Ovis aries: one gene and its partners. The protein of the gene in region 2 purifies or fractionates together with the protein of the main gene of each other region. This does not show direct contact. Links are inferred from orthologs where the notes say so. Each region holds a gene or a part of one and is shown on either strand. Other genes may lie near its edges. The genes, in order: PLEKHA7, CDH1 and SRC.

The links.
Region 1: the proteins of CDH1 (region 2) and PLEKHA7 purify together in Homo sapiens (co-immunoprecipitation; 3 studies listed by BioGRID and IntAct, with this or other methods). This does not show direct contact. The link is inferred for Ovis aries from reciprocal best matches to the Homo sapiens genes CDH1 and PLEKHA7.
Region 3: the proteins of CDH1 (region 2) and SRC purify together in Homo sapiens (affinity purification with western blotting; 5 studies listed by BioGRID and IntAct, with this or other methods). This does not show direct contact. The link is inferred for Ovis aries from reciprocal best matches to the Homo sapiens genes CDH1 and SRC.

The regions. Positions count from the first base shown.
Region 1 is NC_056068.1:35,414,991-35,418,634, forward strand, and holds part of PLEKHA7 (pleckstrin homology domain-containing family A member 7), read left to right. Parts: intron 1-358; coding exon 359-559; intron 560-3,370; coding exon 3,371-3,529; intron 3,530-3,644. UniProt on the Homo sapiens protein: Required for zonula adherens biogenesis and maintenance. Acts via its interaction with CAMSAP3, which anchors microtubules at their minus-ends to zonula adherens, leading to the recruitment of KIFC3 kinesin to the junctional site.
Region 2 is NC_056067.1:35,612,603-35,616,346, reverse strand, and holds the start of CDH1 (cadherin-1), read right to left. Parts: upstream 2,317-3,744; 5' UTR 2,212-2,316; coding exon 2,164-2,211; intron 1,251-2,163; exon of another isoform or gene 1,235-1,250; coding exon 1,120-1,234; intron 1-1,119.
Region 3 is NC_056066.1:66,271,805-66,275,548, forward strand, and holds the start of SRC (proto-oncogene tyrosine-protein kinase Src), read left to right. Parts: upstream 1-1,389; 5' UTR 1,390-1,741; intron 1,742-3,744. UniProt on the Homo sapiens protein: Non-receptor protein tyrosine kinase which is activated following engagement of many different classes of cellular receptors including immune response receptors, integrins and other adhesion receptors, receptor protein tyrosine kinases, G protein-coupled receptors as well as cytokine receptors.

The DNA of each region.
Region 1 (3,644 bases), on a different chromosome or scaffold from region 2:
TTCTCCCCGCTCTCACCCAGTGAGCCACACCCTGAGTTCTGGTCCATCACGCGGTGCAGGTGTGCCCACTGGGCAGGCCTGGGCCTCGGGGTCTGCATCTGCAGGATTGGGTGCTGCCAGAGGGCCCGTGAGGGCTGGGTTGTCATGTCCCCGAGTGTGCTTAGAGGGGAGAGGGAGAGTGTGTGTGTGTGCGTGTGTGCGTGTGTGTATGTGTCTCAGTGTGCTTAGAGGCGAGAGTATGTGTGTGTGTGCGCGCGTGCGTGCGTGCATGCGTGTAAGAGAGACTGGGCTGAAGCCAGGTGGCCGCGCGCCCTCTGGTCTCAGCCCAGCCGCCCTGTCTGCTCCCCCTGCCCCTCAGAGACCCAAGAGTGCCTTGGAGCGCCTGTACTCAGGAGACCACCAGCGGGGCAAGATGAGTGCGGAGGAGCAGCTGGAGCGCATGAAGCGGCACCAGAAGGCGCTGGTCCGGGAGCGCAAGAGGACGCTGAGCCAAGGAGAGAGGACGGGGCTGCCCTCGGCCCGCTACCTCAGCCAAGCGCTCCCGGGAGACCTCGGCTCAGTATGTTAGGAGGGTCCAGGCAGGCGGGGCTGGGGCAGGGAGCAGAGCTTCCCCGAGGCCCCCAGACCCAAGCCCGGCTCACCCCCGAGAGAGTGGCTCAGAGAACACCCCGTGGGCTGTGTGTCCACAAGCCAGGCCGCGTCAGTGGCTTGGTCGGAGGGTGCCCCGAACTAGAGAAAGGGTGAGGCTGTCACGGCAGGAGCCCAGGAGCCAGAGGAAGCGTCCACGGTCAGGTCTCCAGTCGAGCTTGAGGGAGAGGCCCTTCTTCGGCATTCTGAGTCTCTCACCTGAACCCAGGACTTGGGAAGTACAGAGTTGGAGGAGTGGAGGAGAAAGATGGTGCTATGATTTGAGGAGTGCAAGTCAACTAGCCTCCCAAACCTCCAAGCAGATGCCCTGGGGAGCGACTGAGCAGAGTACACCCCTGAGGGCCTGGTGTCCCCCACAGCTAGCGGTGCGGACAGGCCCTGCGCCCCCGGAGAGCCAGGCTGCCTGCTGCCCTCTGGTGGTGCTTCCAGGCACTGCACCCTGCCCACAGTCGCCTTAGGTCCCTTTTGGAAACATTCCATTGGATTTTTCTCTATTGTTTGAAATCAAATGTTTCCCTAGACCTCTAGCCTGACTGTTCTTTCCCTAATTCATTGCACAAGCTCTTTTGCTTTTAGCGTTACTGCTCATTGCCTCTCTAATCCTGCCTGATTGTGTTTACAGAAGCTTCTAATTTGCATCCACCATTCTCTAACTGGCCTGTGCTCCTGTTACTAGGCTTACAATAGCAGCTCTTTTCTCCATAGCCTAGCGAGCACTCCCATGTGTGACTCACTGTCTGCTGCCCCCTTTATGCAGGCTTACTGACTCATAATTCACTTATCCCCAAAGCCGCCCCGCAAGGCTGAGCCAGCCCCACTGCCCAAGGGCGGTGGTCTTTGCCAGAGGTCTGGGCGTGATGAATTTATTAAAGTCCATGCCTTATACTGGGATAGTAGGCATGGACTTCAGAGACTGCACGTTTGAATAAGTTCTGCCAAGTCTGAGGTGGTTCAGTTTTAATTCCTCCAGCCCCATCGGCACAATTTCTTATGGAAAACTTTTTGTGTTGTAGTATTTTATAACTTGAACAGGTAGCAAGATACGTTATGATCTGTATTCAGAGGGCCTCTCGGCAGCTGTTAGCTCAGACACCAAAGGGATAAGACCCAGCACACTCATATCCTAAAAAGCTGCAAAGCCAGTAACTTTTAAACTTTGTAAGTAAATGTCTTATGAGATAAAACTGAGTTTTTACAACCTGATGTCTCAAATGTAGAAAAATGATCTAAAAATCGTAACTTGAATACTTTGTAATTTTTTCTCTTTAAAAAAGACTTGTGTTAAGTCTCTGCCTCAGCGCCAATAAACGTGTTGCTTAATGATGATGGATTGGCGTGGTTCTTCCCCAGGATACACTGTACAGTCCAGTGAACTTTTTCTGTCTGTGGAAGCAATCAGGCTGGGTTTATGTGAGGACCTGTCTCTATTTGGGGCATTGGTGAGCGTGTCAGAAAATGTGTGTATTCTTTGTGAATCAATCATTAAATTAAATTTTCATCCCCGAATCTTCAGCTGTCTAATCCTTTCATACTTTGGTAGGAAGCCATCACCTGAGAGCGATTACGTTGACGTAGAGTCAGTATTGAGAGCTTGTGCATGAGTGGGTGAAATGTGCTGTTATGGCTATGGGTTTGGGGCTTGGGTGAGTGGGGCCGGAGGGGACATTAAAGACGATTGTGACCACTCGGGGCTCTGTGAGGTGGATGAGGTGAGAGAGGGAGGAGGCAGCCTGGGATGGAGAAGTTTCTGCTTGGCTTCTGCACAAGAAAAGGGAGGCTTTGAGCCCATCACCTCCTCTTGGCAACCTGCTCAACATGGAGTTCTGTGGGGACAAAGGCCACAGGTGATTAGGAAGGCCCAAGTGGAGCCCAACCATTGTACTGGGTTTTGTTTTTATTTTATACTGGCATATAGCAGATTAACAATGTTGTGATAGTTTCAGCCATATGTATGTGTCTCCATTCTCTGTGCTGGGATCTTAAAGTGGCTGGGTTAGACTTTCCCTCTGTGAAGCTTGCTCATTACAGAGCTGGGAATGTTGAGTTTGATTTAGCATTTAAATCTTACACGGCTTTGGTTTTCCAACTTAAATAGATGCCTGGCACACAGCAGCTTACCTGCCTCAGTGGTCCTCAGCTGCTCCTGCTTGTACCTCCCCAGCCCTCACTGTGTCCTTTTGGGAAATCCCACGAGAGAGCATCTTGGCTACCCTCCTTGCTTACCAGGGCCTCAGAGGGTTTTGTTTTTCCATTGTTTCTGAGCTGGGACATAGGACTCCAGAACCAGGAAAGGCTTCCATGAGCTATCAGGTGGCAGAAGCAGCAAACCCCTTCTCTGGAGCTCTGTCCCACATTCTGTTTGGGGGTCACCTTCTGGGACCTGGAGGCTTCCTGTATCCCTGGGGACTATTGTAAGTCTAAAGTCGTGGATCACAGACCTGTGCCCTGGAGGTCGGAACACCCGGGGGCCAGGTCAGAGAGACATGAGCAGTCTGGAGTTGGGCCCTGTTCTCTCTGTCACACAGTTTGAGCACACACACGGAGCATCCATCTCACAGACCGCTGCTGCCTTCTGTCAGAGACGGTGTTGAGGTCCATGGTCATACAGCTTTTCCCTAACGAGTCACAGACCCAACTTCCCAAGGACCCTGGTGCCCAAAAGACCCACCTAAAAGGGCCGGTCAGGAAGAGACTACATTTCACCCTCTCCTTCTGTTGCCAGTGGAAGCGTGAGCAGGACTTTGACCTGCAGCTGCTGGAACGGGCTGTTCAAGGGGACAGAAAGGACAAGGAAGAGAATGGCTGGCTGAAGGTGCAGGCCATGCCTGTCACTGAATTGGACCTGGAACCACAAGACTATGACGTGGACATCAGCAGAGAGGTGAGGGCGGGGGCTTCCTTCATGCCTCATTCCTTCTGAGGCATGGTCTTCAGACTGCAGCCTGACCCACCCTCCCAGGGGCACAGGGGGTGTTGCCCTGAATGGGACAGGCTCG
Region 2 (3,744 bases):
TGGGCCAAGAAATGGGGGACTCACTGCAAAATCAAGCAGACAACACTTCATTTTTTCCTTTTTGACCCAATAGAAAGCTCCACACAACACAGACGGGCCTCAGAAAAACAAATATGTTTAATCAATCAAACTGCAGTTTGTCTATTAAAAAAAAAAAAAATTGCCTACTGTTGGAACAATTTCCAAAGTTCCAAAAAAATCTTATAGCATGATTGCTGCATTTTTCACGTGACCAAACACTGGAAGAATAAACAGTGAACTCCCTTAGGGGTATTGTGGGTGAGTCTTCCTTTCAAAAAATGTTTCTTTTATTGTTATGATACTCGTCCAATCAACTAAATCAAGAGGGAGGAGAAAGCCCTTTGGTAGAAAATAAGCACCTGGAGATCAGTGAAACCAGAAGAGAAACCAACCTTTCCTTGCTCTCACTCCCGGGCAAAGTGAAACAAACCAAAATCTAGAGTCCTGATTATCACAGTGATAAGACCCTGAAGTACACTGTGTCTGCTTTTCATTCCTGAGTCAGGGCTACCAGGCTTAAAAAAAAAAAAAAACACCAAAAAACCGCACGTGCCACTATTCCTTGGGGAAACAGTACCTGTATAAAAAAATCTTTTTTCATCTCTATGAGCAAAAGCCACAGCCTGGTAACCAAGAGAGGACTCCTCAGTCATCCCAGAGATGCTGAATGGGGCCTGGAAGTCAGAACCTAGATCAGATTCCTACTTTGACCCTGGGGCCAGTGGACTCCACCCTCCTGAGCCTCCCATTTGCTCATCTGTAAAAAAACGGGAATTGCCACCTCCCCCACCACCCTCTTCCCACACATCAGGTTTTAGACGTTGGAAAAGACAGACTTAAAGTGGTCAGGATAATATGAAACACACTGAAGGCCCCTAATAAGTGCCCCCCATAACTAAGTCAACCATACAAGACAGCCCCTCAAACCCAACGTCTATCCTGGCAAAAGTTTAGATCCTCGCATCTGTGTAATCTACAAAGGTGTGTCACCAGAGCCAGGAAAGACGGTGCTCGCCCAGGCCAGCTCGCGGGCGTAGGAGCGCCGTTTCTCCGACCCTGCCCACTCCCACCCCAGGGACACTGGCGGCGCGCCCTCACCTCTGCCCAGGACTCGCCCTCTCTCCAAGTTCCGCCGGGGCACGGTGAACGTGTAACTCTCAGCGCCAAAGCCAGGCACGCAGGGCTCCGGCTCCTGGCAGAGCCACGATGAGACCTGGGGTAGGGGAAAGGTATGAAACCGGGGTGACTTGGTGGGGGGGGGGGGTCTCCTCTTATTCACACCGAAACCAGCAGCGCCTCCCTTCCCTCTGCTGGCACCAGGACTGTGGGAGGGGTGGGCCCGCCCCGCCCACTCCCCACACCCCCCCAACCTCCCCACCCCCTCCATTCTCCCGCATTTCCCCCACCCCCATTTCCCCCCATTCCTCCCCACAGGGCAGCCAGCCAGCCACGTCAAACTCTTTCATTCGGAAACCTGTGGCCGCCAAGCCTTCAGGACTTCTCAGGAGGGAAGGCTGCTGGCTCCCCTCCGGCCTCAGCAGCGCTTTCCTGAAAGTCTCCTTTTCAATTTCATCGGAGGCATCTTTACTCTTCCCAATTCCACTCTCCCTATACCGGGACCGCTCGCACTCCTAAGTCCGGTTCCTCAGACCGCCGGCGCTCCAGCCTCTTCACATCCTTTCTTATCCCGGGGAGGGTGGGGGGCATACCTATTCACTACACTTTACAGGGCAGGTGACTTTATCTGTTGGTTCCGCTTTCCTTTCCTCGTTCCCACTACTCCCGGCTCCGCCCGGACTTACACCGGGGCTCCCCATCCCTACTCCACGCCCTCTACTCCCCGCCCGTCGCCCACCCGAGTACCCGGAGGCTGCAGCGAGGCGCGCCCCCACCTCTGGCTTTTGCGGGAGGCCGTCCGCAAAGCCGTACTCGCCCTTCACCCTCACTGGCTCCCTCTCCCACTCCCTTCCCCATGGAGTCCAGAGCGCGGCGCAGTTTCCGGGCCATTCAGGCCCTTTGGACCCAAACTTTTTTAGAATAAGAGGGAGCAGGGGACGACAGGAGGGAAGAGAGGAGTTTGGGGGCTGGGGCGCGGCTTATGGGGCCGGAAGGCATCCCGCGCAGTCAGGGGACCCAACGTACCTGCAGCAGCAGCAGGAGCGCAGAGAGGTTGCGGCACCGAGGGCCCATGGCAGGCCGGGCGCGGGCTGAGTAGGATCTAGCTGAGTTGGGCCGGGCTAGAGTCTGGCAGAACTTCTACGAACTCACAGGTGCTAAGAGGCTCCGGACGCCACTGAGCTGCGGGGCGCCGCGGGAGCCAGGTGAGCCTCGACGGCCCCGCCCCCGGCACCAGGATTGGCTGAGGATGCACCTGCCGGCCTCAACCAATGAGCGGCGCGGCAAGGCCTCCGCTTCCTCCGCTGACTGGGGCGGACGCTCCGCCCCGGAGCCGCGAGCAGACCGGGTGATCTGAGAGTAGTCAGAGTAACGCAATGGTAGGGGCTCCACGATTCCCGTTACCATTAGACTTGAATACCAGCCTCGCGGTGGCTCACCAACATCTGGCGCCAGAGAGATTTCACCCTTTACCTACTTCAGATCTCCATCGCTTCTTGAATCGACAGATCAGTTCACTGGGCAGAATCTTCCCTTTCAAAGTATCAGTTTCTTCACCTACTAAATGGTAAAATAATCACAAATCCCTTCCTGTGTTGTTGTGAAGTTGTCATACAATTAATTAAGACCAATGTTTCGTGCACCACAAAAGCTCTATGCAGATGTGAGGGACAATAAGTAACGATTGATACTGGGCATTAAAAGTTACTGTGTCACAGGCTCTGTGCTAAGCATTTGACATTAACCATCTTACTTCATCTCAAAACAACACAAGAGTTGTGCTATTATTCCCATTTAATAGAGGGACAATCCAGGCATAAAGAATTTGAGGCCAGTAGGAAGTAGTAGCTCAGATAGTAAAGAATCTGCAAGAATAACTAGCTTCAATGTCCCATGCAAGGGACTTTATCTTTCCTTTTACCCTGGGTTCAATCCCCTGATGAGGAAGATCTGGAGAAGTGAATGGCAACGCACTCCAGTATTCTTGCCAACAGAACTCCATGGACAGAGGAGCCTGGTGGGCTACCGTCCATGGAGTTGCAAAGACTGGGACACAACTGAGCCACTTTGATATATAGAAGACTGGAACCCACCTCCACCGCCTGTTCTATTGGCTTCAGCTCATGTGGCCCCACATAATCTTCCAGCTGGAGCTGGAGGTTTCAATCTGTCCTTTAATGTTGACAGGAAGAGATCCATCAGAGATCAGCCAAACCTGTCATTTGCAAATAACTCGCTTCAATGTCTCATGTAAGGGACATTATCTTTCCTTTTACCCTTGAAGCATGATCAGAACTACAGTGTGTTTAAAAAGAAATGGTAATTATGTGATATGATGGGGGTGTTAGCAATGAGTTAGGTATGTGTTAGCTAAGTGTTAGCTATTATGGTAGTAATCATTTTGCAATATATGTGTCAAATCAACATTTTGTTTCTGATAAATGTGTACAATGTTATATGTCAATTATTTTTCTTTTGCTATAAAAACCCCAAAATGTATTTATTTAATATATTCATCACAAGGGTTTAACCACACTTAATTTAAAAAACAGAAACAAAACAAAAATGACACCACAGATAAGACAGAGTCCTATACAGACATTGAGG
Region 3 (3,744 bases), on a different chromosome or scaffold from region 2:
ACAGCAGCTGGGCAACCAGTCTAGATTTGAACCCAGATCAGTCCAGCTTAAGGCCTTGCTCATTCCTGGTCTCCCAGGTACTGTACTGTACCCTGAGGCCCTTGCCTCCCACAGTCTTGAGTTTCCCTCCCTGCTCCTCTCAGGAGAAGTCCAGGCTTCTACCATTTGACCTGGACTGGGCTTTACTTTCCCATCTGTGAAATGGGAAAACTTTCAGAGAAGGAAAACAGAGGCAGATGGTGGCATTTAAAGCTGGATTCAGGCCCACCTTCCCCTGTGCAGTAATCCCAGGAGGACCTGTGAAAAGCCAAAGGCAGGACTAGCACATGTGCTCAGTTGCGTTTGACTCTTTGCAATCCCATGAACTGAAACCTGCCACCAGGCTCCTCTGTTCGTGGAATTTTCCAGGCAAGAATACTGGAGTGGGTTGCCATTCCCTTCTCTAGGGGATCTTCCCGAGCCAGGGATCGAACCCACGTCTCCTGCCCTGGCAGGCAGGTTCTTTACCACTGACTATAATTGCCACTGAATACCTGCTTTGGCCCCTCCTAAGGGGCTTACTCAGAGAAGGCAATGGCACCCCACTCCAGTACTCTTGCCTGGAAAATCCCATGGGCGGAGGAGCCTGGTAGGCTGCAGCCCAAGGGGTCGCTAAGAGTCGGACACAACTGAGTGACTTCACTTTCACTTTTCCCTTTCATGCATTGGAGAAGGAAATGGCAACCCACTCCAGTGTTCTCGCCTGGAGAGTCCCAGTGATGGTGGTGGAGCCTGGTGGGCTGCCGTCTGTGGGGTCGCACAGAGTCGGACACGACTGAAGCAACCTAGCAGCAGCAGCAGCAAGGGGCTTACTGGAAGCCCTTTATAAGTTCCTTATCTGGAACTTATTGGCTTCTTAGTTACTTTTTTTTTTTCTTCTGATGCACTTTAAAATGAATGCATAGCTATTAAGATAAAAATGCTGCTCCTTACCACACTGTCCTGCCTGTCTCAGTCCCCAGTTTGGGAAATTCAGGTTAAGGCCAGGGTCCAAGACCTGGCTTTTGTCAGGTGAGTCCCTTCTCTGTGCCTCAGTTTCTTCATCTGTAAAATGGGGGTGATCATTGGCCTGCCCAGCCCACTTGGTTGGTAGGAATAGATCCTAAAGTTGACCTGAACAGCTTAGCATGGCACCGGGTAAGGAATGAGTTCTCCATCAGTGCTGCTGTTACTGATTATCAGTAATAATTTCATGAGAGGTAGACTTGGGGTCAGTTGGGTGGGTGGGTTGGGAGGAGTTGGGGAGGGTATTTTGGCTTGAGAGCTGATGGGTGGGTGCCCCATGGGAAGGGAGCACTCTCAGGGCGGGGTAGGGGGCGGGGCTTCCGTGGCCGGAGCCCCCGCCCTTCCATTCCCTGGCCGCCGGGACCCCGGGCGTGGGGAGGCCGCGCGCGGGACTCTCCCAGGTCACCGGCGGGGACCCGTCCCGGCACGCTTCCTTCTTCCTCCCCCTCCCGGCGGCCTGCCGGGCCCCTCCTCCCTGCTCGCGCGCTCCCTCCCTCCTCTTCCCCTCCCCGGGCCGCCGCCTCCTCCTCCTCCTCCGCCTCCCTTTCTCTCTCGATCTGTCTCTCCTGGCCCGGAATCCATTCCGGCCCGGGAGCCGGAGCGGCCAGGCCGCCGTGTGCCCGAACCCCTGGCCGTCCGGCGGTCCGTCCTCCAGTGCGTCTGTCTGCCCGGTGCGTCCGTCTGCCTGCCGGTCCAGGTGAGCGCCCCCCGCCCCTCCGCCGGCCCCGGCTCCCGGCCCGCGTGAGGGAGCCCCCCGCCCGGGGACCACCCTGGCGTCCGATCGCTGGGCCGCGGGGGCTCCTGCCCCCCTCCAAACCTCACCCCTCGAGCCAAGCGGCGATCCCGGGGCGCAGGGCGGGCGCACCGGGACTTGTCTGGCGCGGCCTTTTGTTGTGATGCCGCGGGGGGGGGGGAGGGGTTTGGTGGGGGGCGTAGGGGTCTTGTCCTCGCGAGGACCCCCCCCTCCCGCTCATGCTCCCTCTGCGGGCCCCCTGAGAGCAGCGAGCCGGGCCCGAGCCCCCAGGCCAGGTCTAGGCCAAATCTGAAATCTGAACCAGTCGGCGCCGCCTCTGGCCGCCGCTACCCAGCCTGGCGCCCCCAGCCCGGGATGGGAGGTGGAGAAGGGCCGGCAGGGTGGGCCTGGGGGGGCGCCGGGCAGGGGGTGCCGGGCCAGAACACCAGGATCTCCTTGTCCTCGTGGGGCCTTGGGTAGGGCCTGGTGCTGCCGGCCTGGAAAGGACTGGGCCAAACTGTGGTTGGTCCCAGCTGCCCACAGCCCCCAGCCTCCTCTCTGGGCAGGCCCTACCTCCGGTCTGCTCAGAAGTTGGCAAAAGTTTAAGATTTGGCCCCCAGGCCGGGTCCATCTGCCTGCCTGGGCTGGGGTTGGTGGTGGGTTTGAGTCCCAGTGGGGGCTCCGCTTTCCTGCCCTGCTGTGCTTCCTTGAGCAACTGCCTGCCCTCTCTGAGCTGGGGGCCCTTGTCAGGTCCAGCTGTGGGCCTGGCTGAGCCTACTGGGCTGGTGGAAGGACTGGGTGAACAGAAGGGGCTCACCTGTGGGGTAGCAGTTCAACCTCTGGGGCCTTCAGGCGGACTTGAGAGTCGGCAGAGCCTGTGGGGCCCTGGGTGAGGTGTCCCCGGCTTCAGGGACTCTGTCCAGTTGGGGCAGTGGTCTCTGGATCACCTGGGGTGACTCCAGGCCTGGCTTCAGTCAGCTGAGATCAGACTTGATTTTAAGAATGGAGCAGGCTGACGCTGTTGCTGACCCTCATCTTGGCTTTCTGGCTGGAGAGACAAGACCTCGGCTTCTGGTCACACTGGGCTACCTGGGCCAAAGGACCGCCCCTCTGAGTCTGCTTGTGTGCGGTGGGGATCCCCAGGGGAAACCTGTAGGCACTTCTGCAGGTAGGGCCTTGGCATGTAGTAGGTGTTCAATAAATGAGCATGGCACTGGATGAATGGCCTGAAAAAGATGGGCATGAGATGAGATGGCTGGCTCTTGTGGGGCTTATTCCAGAAGAGGGTGGATCGGTGTCCCCAAAGCCACCTCCTAACCCCTTGAGGAGGAACCAGCCTCAGTGCAGTCTTGCCACCCAGCACTTGAGACAACTCGCTTCTCCTTCTGGCCTCAGGTTTGTTCAGTATAAAATGGGCTTGTGAGAATGATAGCTGCTAACATCTATCGAGTACCTCCTAGGAGGTAGGGACTTTTGTGTATCCCCTTTTTGCTGGGGAAGAAACTGAGGCTCTGAGAGCGGAAGTGACTTGACCGAGCCACATAGTTTGAAGCTGGAATGAGAGCCTAGAGCTCAGAGTGCCCGGTCGGGCTGTCCTTGTTCCCTTCCCGTGATGGAGGAATGGGTGTTTCTCAGTATGGGACCAGGCACACGACAGTGTTGGAAGAGACTCGGATGAGTGATTGTGTGGATGCCACGAGGCCCTTTGGGTGAGGTGGTGTGCTGTGGTGATGTGGTCTTTCCACCCAAGGAAATGATTTACAGTGTGTCACCTCTCAGCTGACTGCCTGCCTAGGCCCTCCTGTGTGACTCCAGGGCCTTTGCTCCTGAGGGTTTCCCTGCCGGGAGTGCCCTCTCCTCTAAGAGCTGCTTGTCTGCTTTTGCTCTTTAAGGCTTCGTTTAAGGCCCACCTCTTCCAGGAAGGCCTCCCAGCTTTCTCCTCCTCTCCCCTAGCCTCTTCCCAGGCG